Saccharomyces cerevisiae S288C: one gene and its partners. The gene in region 4 interacts genetically with the main gene of each other region. Each region holds a gene or a part of one and is shown on either strand. Other genes may lie near its edges.

Region 1 (6,249 bases), on a different chromosome or scaffold from region 4:
TAGATCTAAAATGACGGTCGACCATGATTTCAATAGCGAAGATATTTTATTCCCCATAGAAAGCATGAGTAGTATACAATACGTGGAGAATAATAACCCAAATAATATTAACAACGATGTTATCCCGTATTCTCTAGATATCAAAAACACTGTCTTAGATAGTGCGGATCTCAATGACATTCAAAATCAAGAAACTTCACTGAATTTGGGGCTTCCTCCACTATCTTTCGACTCTCCACTGCCCGTAACGGAAACGATACCATCCACTACCGATAACAGCTTGCATTTGAAAGCTGATAGCAACAAAAATCGCGATGCAAGAACTATTGAAAATGATAGTGAAATTAAGAGTACTAATAATGCTAGTGGCTCTGGGGCAAATCAATACACAACTCTTACTTCACCTTATCCTATGAACGACATTTTGTACAACATGAACAATCCGTTACAATCACCGTCACCTTCATCGGTACCTCAAAATCCGACTATAAATCCTCCCATAAATACAGCAAGTAACGAAACTAATTTATCGCCTCAAACTTCAAATGGTAATGAAACTCTTATATCTCCTCGAGCCCAACAACATACGTCCATTAAAGATAATCGTCTGTCCTTACCTAATGGTGCTAATTCGAATCTTTTCATTGACACTAACCCAAACAATTTGAACGAAAAACTAAGAAATCAATTGAACTCAGATACAAATTCATATTCTAACTCCATTTCTAATTCAAACTCCAATTCTACGGGTAATTTAAATTCCAGTTATTTTAATTCACTGAACATAGACTCCATGCTAGATGATTACGTTTCTAGTGATCTCTTATTGAATGATGATGATGATGACACTAATTTATCACGCCGAAGATTTAGCGACGTTATAACAAACCAATTTCCGTCAATGACAAATTCGAGGAATTCTATTTCTCACTCTTTGGACCTTTGGAACCATCCGAAAATTAATCCAAGCAATAGAAATACAAATCTCAATATCACTACTAATTCTACCTCAAGTTCCAATGCAAGTCCGAATACCACTACTATGAACGCAAATGCAGACTCAAATATTGCTGGCAACCCGAAAAACAATGACGCTACCATAGACAATGAGTTGACACAGATTCTTAACGAATATAATATGAACTTCAACGATAATTTGGGCACATCCACTTCTGGCAAGAACAAATCTGCTTGCCCAAGTTCTTTTGATGCCAATGCTATGACAAAGATAAATCCAAGTCAGCAATTACAGCAACAGCTAAACCGAGTTCAACACAAGCAGCTCACCTCGTCACATAATAACAGTAGCACTAACATGAAATCCTTCAACAGCGATCTTTATTCAAGAAGGCAAAGAGCTTCTTTACCCATAATCGATGATTCACTAAGCTACGACCTGGTTAATAAGCAGGATGAAGACCCCAAGAACGATATGCTGCCGAATTCAAATTTGAGTTCATCTCAACAATTTATCAAACCGTCTATGATTCTTTCAGACAATGCGTCCGTTATTGCGAAAGTGGCGACTACAGGCTTGAGTAATGATATGCCATTTTTGACAGAGGAAGGTGAACAAAATGCTAATTCTACTCCAAATTTCGATCTTTCCATCACTCAAATGAATATGGCTCCATTATCGCCTGCATCATCATCCTCCACGTCTCTTGCAACAAATCATTTCTATCACCATTTCCCACAGCAGGGTCACCATACCATGAACTCTAAAATCGGTTCTTCCCTTCGGAGGCGGAAGTCTGCTGTGCCTTTGATGGGTACGGTGCCGCTTACAAATCAACAAAATAATATAAGCAGTAGTAGTGTCAACTCAACTGGCAATGGTGCTGGGGTTACGAAGGAAAGAAGGCCAAGTTACAGGAGAAAATCAATGACACCGTCCAGAAGATCAAGTGTCGTAATAGAATCAACAAAGGAACTCGAGGAGAAACCGTTCCACTGTCACATTTGTCCCAAGAGCTTTAAGCGCAGCGAACATTTGAAAAGGCATGTGAGATCTGTTCACTCTAACGAACGACCATTTGCTTGTCACATATGCGATAAGAAATTTAGTAGAAGCGATAATTTGTCGCAACACATCAAGACTCATAAAAAACATGGAGACATTTAATAGACCCCATTTTTTTAATTCGATAGATCTTTCTTCATAAGATAATTCTGTTCAATGACTTATGAAGCTTACGGCTTATTGTTATTATTATCATGATTCTTTGCCATTTTTCCGGTACCTTCACATTTTGAAGGAATTCAGTTCCCCCGCCTGTAACAACTTAGATACACGTAGATAAAAATTAATATAGCCAAAATATTTGGTATGATAGGGTATAGTATAATATAATTAATACAATATAATATAATATAGTACAGTACAGTATAATATTGTATAATATCATATGGCACCGTAATATCATATATATATCCGTACAGTTTAATGAATTCCGTGCGCATTATGCTGTGCAATATGCCTGTCAGTTTGAAAATCGAAGATACCACATCGTACAAAAGCAAGAGGGGTGCCCCTAATGGGAGAAGATTACCGTTTTTATTTTGGGGTAGCTAACTGCGCCACAAATAGTATCTACCAGTTTGCTACTTTTAGAACTGTATTATGTATCTTTGCCGAATACTTAATTTCCTAGGCCTCATTTTCAGGACTAAGGATGAAGAGGGGCTTCAATGTTTTATATGGCGCTTTTTCTGTCCATTGTATACGTCAAAAAAGCATAGATACTCCACTTATTAGCGGTAAAGCCCTTTTTGATACATTGTTCCGGCGTTTAAATATTCTCATTATGATATTTCCCCAACAGTTACACTCTGTTATTTCCTTCTTTTTTATGCTTTATCTGTTTTTTCCCTGTTTCGATGCCGTATATCAGAAAACTTAAAGTTACAAGCGAAAACAAAGAAAAGAGAGTTAACTTGAAAGGAGACAAAAGATAAACAGAGCAGTGGACAAACCAGGATTGAAGTCAGCGAGGGTGAAGAAACCATGAACAATATATTTCATGGAACTGAAGATGAATGTGCCAATGAAGACGTTCTTAGTTTCCAAAAAATTTCCTTGAAAAGTCCCTTTGGTAAGAAGAAGAACATATTTAGAAATGTTCAGACCTTCTTTAAGTCAAAAAGCAAACATTCGAATGTCGACGATGATTTAATCAATAAAGAGAATCTTGCCTTTGATAAATCTCCATTGTTAACAAATCACAGGAGTAAGGAAATTGATGGTCCTTCACCGAATATAAAGCAGCTTGGCCATCGCGATGAGTTAGATGAAAATGAAAATGAAAATGATGATATAGTCTTAAGCATGCATTTTGCTTCTCAAACCTTACAAAGTCCAACAAGAAACTCATCAAGAAGATCTTTGACCAATAATAGGGATAATGATCTTTTAAGTAGAATCAAGTATCCTGGCAGTCCCCAGAGGTCGAGCTCTTTTTCAAGGTCAAGGTCCTTGTCGAGAAAGCCAAGCATGAATAGCAGTAGCAATTCAAGCAGGAGGGTGCAACGGCAAGATGGGAAAATTCCGAGGTCATCGAGAAAAAGTTCACAGAAATTTTCTAACATTACTCAGAATACTTTGAACTTCACGTCTGCGTCATCCAGTCCACTAGCTCCTAATTCGGTAGGGGTGAAATGTTTTGAATCATGCCTAGCCAAAACACAGATACCATATTATTATGACGATCGTAACTCAAATGACTTTTTCCCTCGAATTTCTCCAGAAACGTTGAAAAATATTCTGCAGAATAATATGTGCGAGTCATTTTATAATTCATGTCGTATTATAGATTGTCGGTTTGAATACGAATATACTGGCGGCCACATAATAAACTCCGTTAACATACACTCGAGAGATGAGTTAGAGTACGAATTTATCCATAAAGTTTTGCATAGCGATACTAGCAACAACAACACTCTACCAACTCTTTTAATTATCCATTGCGAATTTAGTTCCCACCGGGGACCTTCATTGGCCTCTCATTTGAGAAATTGTGATCGTATAATAAATCAGGATCATTATCCCAAATTATTCTATCCCGACATATTGATATTGGATGGCGGATACAAAGCTGTTTTTGACAATTTTCCTGAACTATGTTATCCACGTCAGTACGTGGGAATGAACTCACAAGAAAATTTGCTGAATTGTGAACAAGAAATGGATAAGTTTAGGAGAGAATCTAAAAGATTTGCTACTAAAAATAATTCTTTTAGAAAACTAGCTTCCCCTTCAAATCCTAACTTCTTTTATAGAGATAGCCATCAATCTTCAACAACAATGGCATCTTCTGCACTATCGTTCAGGTTTGAGCCGCCTCCGAAGCTGTCATTAAACCACAGAAGAGTCTCTAGTGGTTCATCATTAAATTCAAGTGAGAGTACAGGCGACGAAAATTTCTTCCCCATCTTAAGTAAGTCGTCTATGAGTAGTAACAGTAACCTAAGCACTTCACATATGCTACTAATGGACGGACTGGATACCCCATCATATTTTAGTTTCGAAGATGAGAGAGGCAATCATCAGCAAGTAAGTGGAGATGAAGAGCAAGACGGAGATTTTACTTTCGTTGGTTCCGACCGAGAAGATTTACCCAGGCCCGCAAGAAGATCGTTATTCCCTTCTCTAGAGACTGAAGATAAAAAATGATACTACATGTGCATGAAGTATTATGAAAAAAAGAAGTATATATTCAGGAACCGAACGGCAACAACATCAATACATAAATCACAATCATCTATATTTATTGCATTAGATTAATCACATAATATAAAAAATTTGCATTTGAATACCGGGGTCACTTCTAAATTCATAAAAATAAGCTGATTTTCATTCTAAAATGGCTCTTTTGCTAATGCAGTCTCTACCGGTACTCAGTTTGAGATCCGTTCCCCACCTGGAGGGTGGCCAAACAATTGTTATAGCTTTCCCTATGACCAACCCACTGGAAATGGGGCCAAAAGTATTGCTATCAATCGAATGAAAATAATTGTCCCCTTCGACCCATATGTGTCCCCTGGGCAGGTTCACTTGAGGTTTAGGGTATGGAAACTTCGTGTCAATGGTATCAAACGGTAAACCTTTAACCCTTTTGCAGTAAACTTTCCGAGGGTTTGTAGGAGCTTTGAAAAGGATAATGTCATCTCTAGATAAATTACTTGGGTTCTTGACTCCAAACTTCCAAAGCAGCACCCAATCTGTTGCCAGCGTTTCCGTTTGCGGGTTCAGCGTAGGCTGCATAGAGGTACCTTTAACTTGCGCAATATGGACCACATTATTATTGATTGTTAGAAGTACCGGAACCCATGAAATTGCTATTAGTGTGTTTCGTAAGAATCTTTTTGATGATCCGGCTCGAAACATTACTGTACAGTACAATGCAACAGCTTCATGAATAGCAGCACGCCTTCGTTAACAAGCACCCATCTAGTCATTCAATTAAGGCACTTGTTTTTTCCATTTTTTTCAGTAGCTCGGAACTTAGCCTCGCTCTCCTTCCGAGCTTGATCTTCCACAGTATTTCGATGACATTGGTCTACCCGTAAGTCTGAGCTCCAACGAACAGCCAGAAGCTAAGAAAGCATAAAAAAGAACCGAACCACTTTAAAATCTAGCAAATTTTAACCTTCAATTATATAAAGAGAGATTTATAGCTTTTTATTGCCTGAAACCGTCTATGCTACCTGAATCACCTTCGCACCCTTTTCTACGATATATCCCAACTCTGACATAACTTGCAAAAAGAAGGAAGACACACATTTAATACACCTACTTAGTGCCAAATGAAGACTCAGTACTCTCTAATACGAAAAATTTGGGCACATTCAGTAACAGAATTTCTGAAATCCCAGTGGTTTTTCATCTGTTTGGCTATTTTAATCGTTATTGCAAGATTTGCTCCGAATTTTGCAAGAGACGGAGGGTTAATTAAAGGCCAATATAGTATTGGGTACGGCTGCGTCGCCTGGATTTTTCTCCAAAGTGGCCTGGGAATGAAATCAAGGTCACTAATGGCAAATATGTTAAATTGGAGAGCTCATGCCACTATTCTGGTTCTGAGTTTCCTTATTACCTCGTCCATAGTATATGGATTTTGTTGCGCGGTAAAGGCTGCTAATGATCCGAAAATAGATGACTGGGTACTTATCGGTCTAATTTTGACTGCCACTTGTCCAACAACCGTGGCTTCAAACGTTATCATGACTACGAATGCAGGTGGAAATAGC
Region 2 (6,029 bases), 290 kb from region 4:
TGTTTCTTGATCGTTCTCGTCGCCAACATCCTCATCTGTCTCATCAACACTAGTAATTGTTCTTGCTAGATGTTCCCAAAACGATAGAGGGGATAAAGGATACACATTGGTAAAGGGGATATTGATTACGTTAATAGAAATATTTTTACTTGGAAGTCTCTCCCAAAGTAAGCGGTAATAATGGTAGAAAGAATGAAATTCAGGGATTCTTTGTCGTTGAAAATTTTGTAGCTGTGCCGCAGTTAACATGGCGGGCTTTTTGTTATTGTCTGGTGATGGGTTATTTGAAACATCATTTCCTGTAGTTCTAGAAATATAGTTCAGATTTAAGGACAATACAACTGAAGATGTCGGCGGAGGAGTAATTATCTTCGAATCTGATGGCGCTTCAAATAATGTTTCTGTCATGGAATTGCAGTCATCAAAATCATCTTCTGTATCCAAACTTCGCTGTTGGAAATAATATGATTCGCCGACTACCTGTTCGTTAGTGAAACATTTGCTATTACAATCAATTGTTAGATTGGATAACGATGGGAAACAACTGCATAACAATAAGTCGAATTTACTGTTAATCTTCAGTAAGGATAGATGTTTGACCATTTTAAAGTAAGAGTGAAACAAACGTAATATTCCATTTCCAGGAACTACATCACATGAATCTAAAGTAAGTGCAGTGATAGGAGACTGTAAACTGTACAGTTCATTATCTTCGTTCTTTAGAAATAGTGGTAAGAATTCCATTGGAGTATCTAGCGATTCGGTGTCTATCGTTACATTTTCTAGTTTAAGTTCATTAATTATGCCGAAACAGCAGAATAAACTCGGTCTTAGTACGAGCTTTTGGTGATGGCGTTGACGATTAAAGGTTCTTTGTCTTTTATTATTAGCTTTGATTTCCAGTATTTTCAACCTTGGCAGAGAATAATACTTGGATTCGTATTCTTTGACAAATTTTTTGGATAGTTGGAAAGTCCTCAAATCTTCGTTTGTGATGGATTGCTGGCCCTTGATTATTTTCTTGAAAAAATCTCTAGATCCATCGTTGAATACAGAGTACCATAAAGGAATTTTAAAATTCGGTTCCACATCACTCAGAATCACTCTGGTCAGGTTCGGTAGATAGTCTATAATATCAAGCATTAGCTCAATATAAGTATAATGGAAGTAGTTGCTTTCCAATTTATCAAGCAGTTTGATTCGTTCTGAAGTTATGATGGGAGTCTCATCGTTTAGTCTGATGTTATTCAGTTTTTTTACGTCTTTATCATACGAATCGAGTTTATAAGATCCAGCAATAATAGAATCTTGGCCACTCTTATTATAGAACTTACTGTATTTTAACAACGAGTCTTGGGACTGAGGATTTTTGAATTCGATGGATCTTACGAGGAACCTTGCATTTTGTGATCTAGATTGTGTGCTACAATCACCGCTGTGTGTGACAATGTTCGACGTGTGGAACTCGGAGTGTATCAAAGCATTGAACTTTAACAACGAAAGTTTTGAGTCCAAAATAACGTTTTGGAAAAGGAACTCATTCGTAATCAAATTGTAGAACCTCGAATTGACTTGGCATAGTGTTACTAATGTATTGAAGTCCAAAGTTCGCAGTATTAACAGTAGAACTTTTGTTGGCAAACACATGAGGGACGATTTATCGTTGAAGCGTAGTGATCTCGATTTGATATCATGGCTCGTACTATGTAGAAGGCTTTTGGCATCAGCACAGCCCTCTTCCTCTTCTTCTTCCTCCTTCGCAGCACTGGAGACCAGCGAGAAATATTTTGATCTACCAAACAATTGCAACCGTTTCATGATTCGGTTGGTTTGAACGTTTGAAAATGCGGTTCAACTTTTCATATCTAGCAGTGGCTCATCTTTATGTACTCTAGTCCTAAATCTTCTGCTGGTTATCGCAAAAAAATATGTGATGTGCGGGTTTTTGGCAGTAATCATGACTCAGTCTCTGGAAAAACGTGCTATTTAACGGTTATATATCTATCTATGTACATGCCTGTGCATGAGCTCTTCATTCATTTCTGGGAAGGGTGAGGGAGCTGGGATGCATTTTCTGAGTTGTTCTTGGCATATTTTCCCAGGACGTCCTTTAGCGAATCTGGGATGTCTTCAAACTCCAAGTCGCCCACGTCTTGGCTAACTTGTTCTCCGTTAGCTTTCATTAACTGTTCCACGGTAACATGATGATCATGGAATATTTTCAGATGGTCTGCTATCAAATGTCTCACTTTGCAGTGCGGACAAGAGATCAAGACAGTACCTTTCTCGTACGCCTGCTTGGACATTGTGTGTGAAGATCGGGTGTTACATTTCTTGCAGGTGAAAGCTATCATCATCTTAGGCTTGTCTACCTTAAAAGACCCCAAATGAACCTTCTTATCGTCCTTTTTCACTTCATTATGTGCGATGATATTGGTATGCAACGCTGCTGCGGGTAGAGTACGGCACACGTTGTAGCGTACGCGAGGCGCCCAACATCTGGCAAAGTACCTGGTAATTGGTATTTTACTTTGCAGTAGTGTTCTAGTCCTCGGAATCATGTTCAGTCTCTTGATATTCCAGTTGCACCGGTGCTGCTTTAGTATCGCTGATCCCTTGAAGCCAACATGACGCTCTTTCACCTTTCCTCTCATAATTTTGATATCACGCGAAAATGCAAGAAAAAAAAATTACAATTATGAAGTGCAGAAGGAACCAAAAATATCATCGAAAGAAGGAGTACGTAGAGCGTTACTATTTTCAATCAGTGTTCCCATTGTGCATACAAGAAATGTCTCAACCCCAGATGTCCCCTGAAAAAGAGCAAGAATTGGCCTCCAAGATTTTGCATAGAGCTGAGTTGGCTCAGATGACGCGTCAATTAAAGCTTGGTTTAAGTAATGTCCCATCAACAAAACGAAAACAGGACTCTACAACAAAGAAAAGAAGCGGAGAGGATGCCGAAGATGTTGATGAGGACCACAAAACTCTTTTGGAAGCCATATCGCCTGCGAAAAAGCCTCTCCACGATGATACAAATAAAATGACTGTTATATCGCCCGTAAAATTTGTAGAGAAGCCAAATACTCCCCCAAGTTCACGCCAACGAAAAGCCGAAGACCGCTCACAGCAGATCAAGCCTAGGAAGGAGGACACTCCATCTACTCCGAGGGCTTCTGCTACACCTATAATCTTACCACACGCTTCGTCACACTACCAGCGCCCCCATGATAAGAATTTCATGACGCCAAAACGTAATAATAACAACAGCAGTAACCATAGCAATAACAATAATAATATCAAGAAGAAGGCAGCAGGCTCTAAGGATGCTCCACAGGACAGCGACAACACTGCGGGCGCTGATCTCTTAATGTATTTAGCCACAAGTCCATATAATAAGTCATCACATCATGGAACACCGATGGCCGTAAGGATGCCCACTACTCCACGCTCTTATCATTACGCGTCGCAATTGAGTTTGAACGGTAATACAGCAAGCACATCAAACGATGCAGTAAGATTCTCTCATATCAAACCTTCAGCGTCTTCTCCGCAGTCCACTTTCAAATCTAATCTGTTACCGAATTTTCCGGACGAATCTCTCATGGATTCTCCATCACTATACTTGAGCAATAATAACGGTAGTGTCCAGGCGACACTATCGCCACAGCAGAGAAGAAAGCCCACCACAAACACATTGCATCCACCTAGTAACGTACCTACCACGCCTTCAAGAGAATTGAACGGTACCAATTTTAACTTACTCAGGACGCCCAACTTCAACATGGGAGACTATCTGCATAATCTTTTCAGCCCTTCACCAAGGGTCCCCGCCCAGCAGGGAGCGTCAAACACGTCAGCTTCAATTCCTTCTGTTCCAGCGATGGTGCCCGGATCATCTTCCAACACTTCTGCGATAGCAACAGCTGCTATATCAAGCCACACCACAAACAATTTTCTAGATATGAACGCAAACGGGATCCCGCTCATTGTAGGACCCGGCACCGACCGTATAGGCGAAGGGGAGTCCATTGATGACAAACTCACTGATTGATCGTTGACGGCCATATCAGTTGATGATTCCATACTTCCTGAAATGGACCACTCAAAGGGACAAAAATGACAAATGTTGAAATTATAAAATTACATATTAATACGTAAAATGACATTCTTTTTTAGGGAAATTCGGAGATAGATTATCACTATGTAAGCTTATGTATCGTAATATACAGGGCCGATATTTCACCTAGTTTACTTTTTCTGGTGGCCTTTATGTTTATGACTGTGCCCCCTCTTGTGTTTGCTTTTAGAGGCTTTCTCTACAGGTATCAGTATGGTGTCCTCATCCTTCTCCCCTGCCTCTGCTTCGACTGGAGCTAACCCATTTTCGTTCTTAAAAGTTTTCTTCCTCCACTCTCTTAATCTTCTTGCCTTCATCACTTTCCTTTTATCCTTCGCTCTTAGTTCCTTGGAACGATAAGGTGCAAATTTCTTCAAACCAATAAATTCATTTAAATCAGTATCATCGGCGGCGAAAATCTCTCTTGCGGTCAAACCGAAACTCTCAGGAGAAACTTCACGGTAACGAAACTTCAAATCTTGCTCCTCTTTTGTACGGCTTCTACTCTTTCTTTCTTCTTCTTCTTTTTCAACCTCCTCTATTAGTGCTAGTTTGTTTTGTTCCAAAGCATTTTCCACTAATTCATTTACCTTTCTCTTTTCTTTCTTCTTTTGCAGTTTCTCTTCTTTCTTGCTCTTCTTTCTTTTTGGACCTTCTTCCTCGTCTTCTTCTTTTTGTTCTTTTTCCACTTCACCTTCTTCTGTTTGGTCATCACCATCGGCGTCTGCATAAAAGTCACCCATTATTTCGTCATCCTCGTTCCAGGTAGGCTTTCCCTCTTGTTGATAAAATTCTTCATTAAATAATTCAGCTACCACGTTATCCCACTCTTCTTCTTTGAAATCGTTCTTCAATAGGGTGTCAGTGATTTTTTTCACCATGTCGGCATTAATTTCAGCACCATATTCCTTTGTTAGTTGCTCTAAAATGTCAGTCAATTTATTCAATTTTTTAGTCTTCTTTTTCTGAAGAGCTGTCTCCTTCTCTGCTTTTATTTGCTCTTTAATTTTTCTTTTTTCCTCTCTTTTTCTTCTGCGTGAAGAGTCATCGGATCTTCTTAGTGTAGCTTGACTACGTGCATAAGATATAATTTCAGCTGCGTTTGGGTCCTCGTACCTAAAATTGTAGGCATTCTCAAATTTTTCTGCAGCATCTTCAAATTCTTCATCGTCCTCTTCATTATTGTTGAGGTCAAGAGAAATCACCTTGTCCCCCTTCTTAGGAATCCAGGCCTGTTGATTCACAAATTCTTCCAAGAAATTTTCTTCATTTACGGTTGGATCCGGTAAATTTTTTCCTTCCTTCTTCGTAGAAGGTTCCTTTTTCTTCAAAAACCCATCGTCTTCATCTCCGCTAGACTCTTCATTTTCTTCATCGCTAAAGGCACTCTTGATTTCATTTAAAAGCTGAGTTTTCTCTTCACGTTGTTGCGAGACGAAAGATTGCTTTCCGTCAACAGTTGCATGTTCGTATTCTTCGTCATCCTCCTTTAAGGCATCACCAGAAAGTATGTTCATACGGTGATAATCTTTTAGGTAAATAGGTTTATGCTTCCCCTCACGATTGGCCAGTTTGGCAGCAGCAGATTCGGGATCCTCGAAGAATTTGACTTTAGGATCTAGTAGTTTGTCCGTCTTATTGTTTTTGATGGCATCTAGCACTTGATTAATACCGTTTTCCACTTCATCAGTAATCAATTCACCGTAATCATCTTCCTCCTCTTCTTCCTCTTCGTCTTCTTCCTCATCTTCACTAGGAACGTACGATTTGCTTGCTTCGATTGCAGGCTTAACTGTCGTCGCAGAGGTTTCAGAAGTTTTTATGGTAGCAGTATCCGTTGCAGGTACGGCCGCTTCTTTTTTTGCTTGTTCTCTAGCTCTTTTAGCGGCAGACTTTTTTCTTGGCATTG
Region 3 (6,093 bases), on a different chromosome or scaffold from region 4:
AATATGGGGTCCTCGGGTGAAAAATTAACGATGGGCTTTTGAAAAAAGGTACGAGCATATAAAGCGAGTACAGTCATTGTGTGCCACCAAGTAGGAAACAAAACACCGCTTAGAGAGAAACAGCAAGTGGTGAAAAACAATGAGTAATATTTTGGCAGTGTTCAACCCTCCACCACAAAGGGAGCTGGAAAAAGAAGAGACTATGGATTGCGTTCCTTGTCAAGTCATGAGCACTATGTTTTCTGTTGGATTTGGCTCATACTTGGCATCTGGGAAACCATTCAAGTATGGTAAAAAAGAAGCCAAAAGAGGCATTTCTCTGACTGAATTTGAAAAAAGAAACCCACAATGGTGGAAAGTAACTTTACGTAGCTTCGGTGGGTTATTAATCGCCTTCGGTTTCGTTAGAGGAACCGAAGGTTGGTTGTGGCATAAAAATAAAGAATATAAGAACTATAAGAAATTAAGTAACGATGGTGAAACACAGGCTAACTAGTATTATTCGCAAGCTTCTCTCAATCGTGAAATTTTCTGTACATAAAGTGCTACTTTGATGATTATTTTTAAAAATATTGTTACATTAGAAAATTGGTTTGTGATTTACATAATCAGGAGAGTCTATATATATATGAATATAGCTTTGAGAAAGGGATGTGAAAAAAAGTGCAATATGTTCCTAACTAATGTTATCGCATGCATTCAATGGGTTGATCTTTCCGATTGTTTCTTTTCTAACTTGGCACGGTCCAAGGCTTCTCTTTTAATTCTCTTGTCTTCCTTTATTTTAGATTTTATTTTTCTACACCAATGTCTAAATTTATCATCTTTAGACGGTGATACGTATTTCATTATAAGATCATGATGTAGCAATTCATGAATCGATGACCTTTCCCTTTCATTCTTAATACAACACCTATTGACAAAATCTGTCATTTCCTTGGAATAGATACGGTCTTTGGGTAATCTTGGTGAAGGCTCGTTGACAATACGTTGCAGCAAATCCAATATGCCATCAGGTGTATCGTTATGCCCACCTAGGGGAAACTCTCCAGTTACCAGCTCGATGATCATTAAGCCCAATGACCAAACGTCCCCTTTGATAGAATAAACGTTTCCTTGTATCCTCTCTGGTGACATATAAGTGGACGTTCCAACAAATGTATCAGCGATAGAATTTATTAGTTTTTTGGAAACTCCAAAATCACATAACTTAATCTGCCCCTTACTATTAATCAGAACATTGGAAGGCTTGATATCACGATGAATGATCTTATATTGTCGGTACAAATGATCCAAGCCATTTAGTACGCCATACGCTATTTTTGATATTGTTAATTCGTTGAACCAGGTTTTCTTACTCGAAACAGTCCCTCTTTGAACAAACCTTTTATAAACGGACAGTATTTTATCTAAAGAACCACAATCAGAGTATTCCATTAAAATTATGATTTCATTATTTATATGCTGGTTATAATAAGCTCCATAGAAGGTGATAATGTTTTCATGGGGCTTAACGTTTTTGACGATAGATAATTCCCTAACTAATTGGTTGATGATTGTACTGTTATTCTGTTCCACAGGAATGGTTTTTTTGGCAACTATTTTGGAATCAGGAACATGTAGTGCCTTCACCACAGTTCCAGAATTTCCAGCACCAATTTTCCCCAACTGAACCAAGTCCTGGAGTTGTATATAATTACCATTTGAAGTTCCCGACAACGTATCTTTCAGATCTGCTGCGGCTGGCGATAGGCTTTCCTCCAAAGGTGGTAGTGATATCGAATGTTCGTTTTCAACTGGTGTTGCAATATTGGACAATCCCTGAATCGTAGAGGGAGTAGAATTCGTGGATGATGGCGATAATCCGAAATTATTACTGTACGCATCTATAATGCATGGCGTGGACAAAGATGATGATGATGATACACACGGGGATTGTGATAGAGAAGACAGAACTAAAACAGGTTCATTTTGCGGTTGCTGTATTACCACAGTGTTTGGTTTCGATATAGCTTGGTCATCACCAAACGCATCCAACGTCAGTTTTTTTTTTATGCCTCTTCGCAAAAACAGGTTGCTATTATTCTGTATTGCATTAATGTTAGACATCACGTGGCCTTCTATTCGAGATTGTCCCTGGTGAGTCTCTGTCTTTTCCTGCAATTGGCCATTATTGCCCACATCTGGGTGCAGGTTAAGATTGAGCCCTTTCAAGTTCCTTCTCTGTAAAGTCTTTCGTTGAAACATGACCAACAACCAATATACCACGCTGCAAAAACAGATATGATCCGATGCAGTTTTCTTATCATTAGTGTCGCTTCACATTAACCTGTAGGTCTTCTAATCCATCAGATGGGCCAATAATAGTATGATATCGCCGTTACCCCACGAATCACTTATAACGAGGACAGTGATCAAAAAAGGGAGGGAAAAAAATTTCGTAAGAAAAAGGACAACACAATCTTAGAACTAATGGGCGATTGTAACATTGGGGTTTGCAAGAAAAGACAATCATCAATAAAAGTGTTTATTATCTGATTGTACATTTATTTCTCATCATTGGATTCAGTTTTGTTTCATCCACATTCTTTTAAGACCACAAGCTTAATATTTTCATTCATAAAGGATTGTACGACAAAACAACAATAATAGTAAATATAGTCATATTTTATTCCTAATAGAAAGATAGACGCAGAAAATTCTTACTTTTAGCCCTTTTATTTCTTCATAACCGCATCGCCATTCGCATAATAACTTATCCCAGGCCTAAAATACGACAAGAAAGAAAATAGTAGTAATGGGTTCCATCAATAATAACTTCAACACTAATAATAACAGTAATACGGATCTCGATCGGGACTGGAAAACTGCATTGAATATTCCCAAGAAGGATACCAGACCACAGACAGATGATGTCTTAAATACAAAGGGTAATACTTTTGAAGATTTTTATTTGAAAAGAGAGCTGTTAATGGGTATTTTTGAAGCCGGTTTTGAAAAACCATCCCCTATTCAAGAAGAGGCTATTCCGGTAGCAATAACTGGTAGAGACATATTGGCCAGAGCAAAGAATGGTACAGGTAAGACAGCCGCATTTGTTATTCCTACGTTAGAGAAAGTCAAACCAAAGTTGAATAAAATTCAGGCTTTGATCATGGTTCCCACAAGAGAGTTAGCTCTGCAAACTTCCCAAGTCGTCCGTACATTGGGAAAACACTGTGGTATTTCATGTATGGTGACCACTGGTGGTACCAATTTGAGAGACGATATTCTAAGATTAAATGAAACAGTCCATATTTTGGTTGGTACTCCTGGTAGAGTGTTGGATTTAGCTTCGAGAAAAGTAGCAGATCTGTCTGATTGTTCATTATTCATCATGGACGAAGCCGATAAAATGTTATCTCGTGACTTCAAGACAATAATTGAACAAATCTTATCCTTCTTACCTCCAACTCACCAATCTTTATTATTTAGCGCTACTTTCCCACTAACGGTTAAGGAATTCATGGTTAAACATCTGCATAAGCCTTATGAAATTAATTTGATGGAAGAATTGACTCTAAAGGGTATTACTCAATACTACGCCTTTGTTGAAGAAAGACAAAAGCTACATTGTTTAAATACTTTATTCTCTAAGCTTCAAATTAATCAAGCCATTATTTTTTGTAATTCTACTAACCGTGTCGAATTACTAGCCAAGAAAATCACTGATTTAGGCTATTCCTGTTATTACTCTCATGCAAGAATGAAGCAACAAGAAAGAAATAAAGTTTTCCACGAATTTCGTCAAGGTAAGGTTCGTACATTGGTCTGCTCCGATTTATTGACCCGTGGTATCGATATTCAAGCCGTTAATGTCGTTATCAATTTCGATTTCCCCAAAACGGCAGAAACATATTTACATCGTATTGGTAGATCCGGTAGGTTTGGCCACTTGGGTTTAGCAATCAATTTGATTAACTGGAATGATCGGTTTAACCTTTATAAAATCGAACAAGAACTGGGCACTGAAATTGCGGCTATTCCGGCCACTATCGATAAGTCATTGTATGTGGCTGAAAATGACGAAACGGTACCTGTCCCATTCCCGATAGAGCAACAGAGCTATCATCAACAAGCGATACCTCAGCAACAATTACCATCTCAGCAACAATTTGCTATTCCTCCGCAGCAACATCATCCACAATTCATGGTTCCTCCTTCGCATCAGCAACAACAGGCGTATCCTCCACCGCAAATGCCATCGCAGCAGGGGTATCCTCCACAGCAGGAACATTTCATGGCGATGCCACCTGGTCAGTCACAACCCCAGTATTAAAGAATATCTAAGAAAAAATAACTACTGTGGTGAGATACGCTTTTTTTGTGATCTAATCGTCGATTATTTTTATCTTTTTTCAAATCTCCATTGTGAATTACATTACTTTGTAACCATACTTTTACTATTGATTTTGAACAAGAATCAGTCGTAATTTAATTTTTGTCTCTGCTTTTTTATTTTTTTATCCGTTTTCTCTAGTTTCTGTGCTGATTTTTTTATCCTCATTTGCGCACCGTTTTTATTACTATCACTTTGTTATTTCTTTTTGTTTCTCTAAAATTATCTCAAACCACTTCATTCTTTTACCAGTCATTGTTGTAACCAATACTACCGTCCATATCAAGAGCTCAAGTGCACTTGCCCAGTTTCATCGACACTTTCGCTTTTAGCTAACTTTTATTGTTATAATTTCCACAATAAACTATTCATTTCAACTGACAAGATGAAACTTTCTTTGAATATTCTTTCTTTTTTTGAGTTTTTTTTTTTTTAAAAGCTTTTTTTTTTTTTTTTTTATAGAGAGTAATCTCAAGGAAAGAATATTAATACTGTGTATATATATATATATATATACATATATATATAAAACTGTTTAGATAAATTAACCAACCAAAAAGATACATGTATTTTTATTATTTTTACCTATTATTTTTTACTTTGCTGCATCTTCATGTTTCCGGGAGACCAGAATTATCTTTCGGGCCAAAATATCAAAAATCAATCATACATAAAAGCGTGTTAGAATTTACATTATTGCACTTAGAAAGGACATGAGTACAGAGCACAGTAATTGTGGTGATGTTATCTAAAGAAGCGTTAATAAAAATCCTCAGCCAAAATGAAGGTGGTAATGATATGAAAATTGCCGATGAAGTAGTACCAATGATACAGAAATATTTGGATATATTCATTGATGAGGCGGTGCTGCGGTCCTTGCAATCTCACAAGGACATTAACGGAGAACGTGGCGATAAAAGTCCCTTAGAGTTATCGCATCAAGATTTAGAGCGTATCGTAGGGCTTCTTCTGATGGATATGTAAAAGTATTCAACTTACATTACATCCATGTAAAGACATAAGACATTCCTGGTTGTCTGATAAATTTAAAGCACTATATTTTCTTTCAGTCGTCCTGAACTACGTTAGTTTACTAAAGTAGTTTTTGGAGCGATCGTGCGCTCACATATACAAATATACAGTTCATTTTATACTAAACGCTTGCATCAAAACGCGCTGTGAAATGATTAAATTACTTAGTCCATATATATTATGCGATGCGAGAAAATGCTCATCTGATTAGAAATGCGGACTGGAATGACAGAATCACTTCATAAATCAATTAGAGTATATCCCCGGTTATTTGAGCCATTATTTTGAGACTGCTGTTGAGACTGGTTACCAAAGCCATAGCCTGTTTGTGTTGGTACGACGCTAGTGCTTGGTAAACCTGTATACTGACTGTTCAAAAACGGATTGTGGTTTGGATCATCCGATACTTGCCTATATCCTGTTCCTTGAGAATTGATGAATGTTCCTGTCTTCGTATGTTGGGCAGGAATACGAGCCTCCCCTACATTTCCGAATGTATCAATACCTGTTCCTGTGGCTAGTAGCTCGTTTAGTTTACTATACTTGTCTGTCATTGATTGATTGCCTGTCCTGTTTTGAATCAATGGCTCTTGTTGTTTTTGTTGTTGCAGTTGCTGTGGAGAAGAAGCTGCTACTAGTTGGTTCCGTTTTGGTGAACTTGAGCTCTGTTCTGATTTGGCAAA
Region 4 (5,123 bases):
CTAGCGAAGCATAGAGATTCTTTTTTTACCAGTCATCATAACCATTATTTTACAAAATTTCCACGCAACAGCTTTTATTTTCGTTCGTAATAGGAACCATACTTCCCATTAAAGCAGTATGATTGTTTTATACACCTTTTTATTGTTATTTAAGACATACCCCAAATAATTAATTAATTAATTGATGAAAGAATCATATAAATTCTTGGCCATACATATTTTTTTATTATCTTTTGCTACATTGACCATAGGTGAATATCTTCCCGGGGTGACACTCCACTGAAGTGGGAAAAAAAGAAAAGTTTTAAAACATTGCTCACCTTAAGTCTCGAAGGTCTAGCATTCACTACCTGTAAGTGTCAAGACCCCACATGTATACATGGATACAATAAAGAAACAATGTCCGTATAATTTGTATACATTTTACTACAGATAAGGGATCTCACCCCCTTCTTTTGTGTCTAAGTGAAATCTTCTGATATATTTAGTGTTTTATAGCGTCCATGTTTTAAACTAGAACGGCAAAATAGTAGTTGTTGTAAACGCTTATTTTCGAGACATCAGGTAAAAAGGATAGTTAAATCTTACAATCAATGCATGTAGTGAGTGGCGTTTATCAATAGTTTTTAACAATTCCCATTTTGAAAGAAGCCCACAACAACCCTAGTAGTTCGTTAATATACGTTATGATGGTCAAGTGTCACAGTACGGAAAGCTTGCAAACAGCTCTTACATAGAGGAGTTGCTTCAAAATAAACGTCCTCTGGTGTCAAGTGTCTCATACAGCGACCACATGCGAAAGAAACTACTACAGATAAGCAAATACACAAATTATAATCGTGGATTCATCATCAGAATACGCCTGGCCCTGTAATCCTTTGGCTCACCAACATTCGATGGACACCTTTATATCTTCTAATAACAGTGAATAATAGACACAATACGAAGAAAAACCCAGCGGTAACCATGTAAACGGTACCACTTACGCCATAAGCTAAATAGATCAGAATGGTAGAGACTTTGACAAATAGCTCGAAAGCTTTAGCGAACATTAGTCTTATCCAATTTAAGTTGGGTTCATTGCCATCTCTACTTTTCATAATATGTTTTATCACAGGTGAAGAGTAAAATACAATGATGTTATGAAACTTTCCAAGCAACCCTAATTTACCAGTATCCTTATATGCTATTAATGTCGTGCCACCAGAACCAAATATCTTGGCAAATTTCCAGTATCCCACGATTTCGATTATAAAATCATTCTCTGAAAAGGTCATTGAATTGAACCCGCTCCTTAATATGTTGTATACGGAAAATGGGAATAAAATTAGCCCAATAAAGTAATCTAAAATGAATAAATTTCTAAGAAAAGTTCTGAGAGGGCTCTGCTGCCTTGCTGTGAATGGGGAATCGGCCGTATTGGCGTTGGTGGCTCTTATAGTGTCTGCATTGATTCCTCCATTTCCGTTTGTGGTTGCATCCATATTAGCTGCTCTATTTATATTTGAAGTAGAACTCATATTCCTCCTAAGGGAGTTAAATATTCCATCGATTGCTTGCTGTACATCCTGCTGTAGTTCTTGCTGAGATTGCTCGGTTACAGGTGAAGGCTCTCTACTATGCCTCGTTTCCGATTCTTCTAGAAATCGCTGAAACAGATAATCATCATTATCGTCTCTTTCTGTCCAATTACTGCGGCGATGATTTTGAGGCCTCGCCATTTTTTCTCACTAAATGCTTGTGAGGATGTATGCGTTTGATTCGGTGTCTCTTTAATCATATTCCCGAATCGACCCTATTTGAAGGTAGAGGGAGTTGTTTCCTCTCACTATTGTTATAAAAGATCATCAATGACGGAAACTAATATGCAATGAAAAAATGAGAAGTTTACATGAATATGAAGATTAACTGCACAGCAATGTTGTTGACCCTTGGTATTCGCACACACTAAGCCAACATAGGTTCGTTCAATTTTTAAAAAGAAGATGGTCCGGCCTCAGAATGTTCACTGGTTTATCGCTACAATTGTATTTTTCATCGGATTTGTACACGCTAATACAGAATCAATCTTATATAAGGTTCCTCACAACTTTCCCCTCAAAAAACCAAGAGACAGCTCTACTTATGCAAGAGATGTAAACTTGATATCTTCCATATCACTATCGGGAGAAGCAATGAGTCAGATCACTATCGAGGCCAATACCACTGACTTGGAGTTGCATAATACTACGTATATTGAACTGGCGGACTTACAGCGAGACGAAACATATCAGATTAAAGTGTGTTGGTCAGCAATACATCCAATTTCCATTAATAATCTCCAAACTATCACAATACCACGTTTCACTGAATTTCAGGGAACTAAGTCAGACTACGCGAGAATACTAGTGACTTTCCAGGTCTTGTCTGACTCGTATCCTAGTGAGCATGCCATGGTTCCAATACAAGTCTCATTAATCACCACTCGGCTAGGTATCCCCGTGGATATTTACCCAACATTAATCGTTATGGTGCTATTAGTAGCAGGGCTTGTTGTTACCCGGGCACCACACGTATTGAACGATCTTTTGCTGAAATTTTAGTATGGAAGCCTGAGCCCCCTTTGGCTGGATAGCTTGGCCTCATCACAACTAGAACGTAAAAAAGTCCATTAACCATCAAATGCTTCTCATTAAAGTGGGTATTTTTATCGAAAGAAAGGGACCTGAATATCTAACTCGCCGCTATGTCGAATGAAAACTTATCTCCCAATAGTAGTAACCCAGATTTAACTAAACTGAATAACGGCGAAAGCGGAACTATTGATACCAGCAAATTCTCGCCCAACGAAATGAAGCTATACAAAATGTACGGAAAGCTGCCATCAAAGAAAGATATTTTTAAGCATACCATGCAGAAAAGAAAATATTTCGACAGTGGTGATTACGCTTTGCAGAAAGCTGGCATTCAAAACAATGATCCAATAAACTATGGAAAGAATAACCTGCCATTAACAAATCCCAGCAAACTACGAGAAGATATAATAAAAAGAAGGATAAGCACTTGTCCGTCAACTGCCTCAACCGCTGGTGTAGTAGATAATGCGACGTTGATACAAAAGGAGGGAAGTATATCGAGTGGACCACCATCGTCTAATAACGGTACTATTGGAGGTGGTAGTACAAGTTCAACGCCAGTGGGGAACCACAGCTCTTCGTCGTCCAGTTTGTATACTGAATCACCCATTAGATAAATAGACAACCTGTACTTTTTTATATTTTTTTAGGGAAAGAGAAGGGTCTCTTATATTTAACGCTTATTATGTGATTTCTCGAAATGTCAAGTGTTACAGCCATATGGCTGACTGTGTTTACGTTAATTAGTTATATATAAACGATAAGCCATTCTGATGTTATCTTCTTGTACTTCTAATTAATAATATTTACTCGTCAGAATTTCGACTTTAATGAGAATATAGATATCTTCCTAGTTTTCCAAACATTAGAGAACCAAGGAAATAAAAATCCATGAAATATAAAAATTGGGAACCGTCGATAATATCTTTGTAGCAAGAGATACAACAACCCACCCCAATGCAGATGCAGCTCATTAACATGGATATTGAGCCGTCAAAAAACAACCACAGTATAATATTCAGAAGCCCCCATGCCCCTGCCGCCTGCAAAGAGGAGTTCCACTGTATTTTCCTGATCCCAAATGTGACTCCCAACATGGCATTGATACTTCTAATAACAGAGGTCAAACTGTCATGGTGGACAGAGCTCTTAACAACCTCTGTTTGAAAAATATTATCCAGAATTGGTACAACAGAACCAAATAACAGTCCTTCAACACCGTAGCCTAACCAGTTTGGCAGAACCCCATTGGATAGCCAGTTACAAAGTTTGACACCCAGTAGAAGGGGTCTCGATGCAAAATCTGGATGTAAGAGATGATTATCGTGCAAGTTTCTGGACAGTTCATGATATGCGAAACCGCTCAATGACAAAATTAATACAGCTTGCAGGTAATGAAGAATATTTTGACGAGTTTGTCTGGTTCTTGACGGAAAGTTTTCGTGAATGGATGATGCTGATAAAATCCTTTCCAAATTATTAGAAGATACTGTGTTCCTTGGCAGCGAGCCGCCAACCTTATGGGCCAAGTAAAAAGTCGAATCAATAGTTTGATCTCTACTATATTTGGTAGAATCTATAGAGACAGAGCGTTTCAATTCTTCGTAAATTTCGTTATCTTCCGATCTCACGACGTCATCATCATATAATGAATAAAGCTGCGGTTTAGTCAGAGAGCAGATTGATTCGGTGCTCTTCTTTGGATCCGGTTCTCCTCTATTGGCCATTCTGTATGCTGTTTTCTTTGAGAAATACTTTGTCGTTTATCTTCGTCCTTGTCTTCTTTTTGGTCCTTTGTGTTTGAGTGCTTTCCAAACTTTTTCTTTACCTTTTGCACGCCAACTACTATGCCCTTTATTGCAAATAAAATAGGTACTACAATAAGCCCTATCATCAATGTTGAGCTGTCAACTAGAAGTTTAAGGAAAAGAACATCTCGAAGTTTAGTAATTTCCTTGCTTTCATATTTTAAATGTCTAGCTAATTTCGTATCTACCCTTTATCTCATGCCGATAAAAAGAAAAGTTCCCCCCTCGTGGCCAGCGACGTTCGTATATACATAAAACTGCCTCACCCTCCTTTCGGTGGCAAAAGCATGTTCTACAAATGAGTATAAAGATGTAATAAGAGCTTGTACAAGCAAGGACTCGAGCTAGGGCGGAAGTGTGACAACAGTGAGCTATAGGCACATTGTAGTGTACATCTACTGCAAGAGCTTGCATTAATTTTGATATAAAAAAAAGGACCATCAACTAATTTTTGCTATATTTAAGAATGTCGGCGGCTATCGAAAAAGAAACCGGAATGTTGGATGTAGGAAAGCACTGTGCATATTGTAGACAACTAGACTTCCTACCTTTCCATTGTTCGTTTTGCAATGAAGATTTCTGCTCGAACCATAGACTTAAGGAAGATCACCACTGTAGGTGGTTGCTAGAGCATGAAGAAGTTCATAAAACTGAAAAAAGTCCTAGCAAAAGCCGGGATGGCTCAAGTTCTAACGATGAA

What was found.
Region 1: mutations in IGO1 (region 4) and MIH1 impair growth when combined (synthetic growth defect), as found in Saccharomyces cerevisiae (one study listed by BioGRID).
Region 2: of IGO1 (region 4) and STB1, changing one suppresses a phenotype caused by changing the other (phenotypic suppression), as found in Saccharomyces cerevisiae (one study listed by BioGRID).
Region 3: of IGO1 (region 4) and DHH1, changing one suppresses a phenotype caused by changing the other (phenotypic suppression), as found in Saccharomyces cerevisiae (2 studies listed by BioGRID).

The regions. Positions count from the first base shown.
Region 1 is NC_001145.3:340,279-346,527, reverse strand, and holds MIH1 (putative tyrosine protein phosphatase MIH1), read left to right. Parts: upstream 1-3,007; coding exon 3,008-4,672; downstream 4,673-6,249. Other genes in the region: stress-responsive transcriptional activator MSN2, read left to right, coding at 11-2,125; IMP2 (endopeptidase catalytic subunit), read right to left, coding at 4,853-5,386; RCH1 (Rch1p), read left to right, coding at 5,806-6,249.
Region 2 is NC_001146.8:49,871-55,899, forward strand, and holds STB1 (Stb1p), read left to right. Parts: upstream 1-2,791; coding exon 2,792-4,054; downstream 4,055-6,029. Other genes in the region: putative SCF ubiquitin ligase complex subunit SKP2, read right to left, coding at 1-1,818; ZIM17 (Zim17p), read right to left, coding at 2,037-2,561; KRI1 (Kri1p), read right to left, coding at 4,252-6,027. UniProt on the Saccharomyces cerevisiae protein: Involved in the regulation and timing of MBF-dependent transcription in late G1 of the cell cycle.
Region 3 is NC_001136.10:168,635-174,727, reverse strand, and holds DHH1 (DExD/H-box ATP-dependent RNA helicase DHH1), read left to right. Parts: upstream 1-2,797; coding exon 2,798-4,318; downstream 4,319-6,093. Other genes in the region: DMO2 (Dmo2p), read left to right, coding at 140-496; mitogen-activated protein kinase kinase STE7, read right to left, coding at 700-2,247; YDL159W-A (uncharacterized protein), read right to left, coding at 2,415-2,546; MHF2 (Mhf2p), read left to right, coding at 5,120-5,362; ENT1 (epsin), read right to left, coding at 5,650-6,093. UniProt on the Saccharomyces cerevisiae protein: ATP-dependent RNA helicase involved in mRNA turnover, and more specifically in mRNA decapping by activating the decapping enzyme DCP1.
Region 4 is NC_001146.8:337,627-342,749, forward strand, and holds IGO1 (phosphatase regulator), read left to right. Parts: upstream 1-2,725; coding exon 2,726-3,232; downstream 3,233-5,123. Other genes in the region: ASI2 (Asi2p), read right to left, coding at 852-1,721; PGA1 (Pga1p), read left to right, coding at 1,986-2,582; NSG2 (Nsg2p), read right to left, coding at 3,443-4,342; YNL155C-A (uncharacterized protein), read right to left, coding at 4,285-4,509; CUZ1 (Cuz1p), read left to right, coding at 4,890-5,123. UniProt on the Saccharomyces cerevisiae protein: Required for TORC1 to properly control gene expression and chronological life span. Plays an essential role in initiation of the G0 program by preventing the degradation of specific nutrient-regulated mRNAs via the 5'-3' mRNA decay pathway.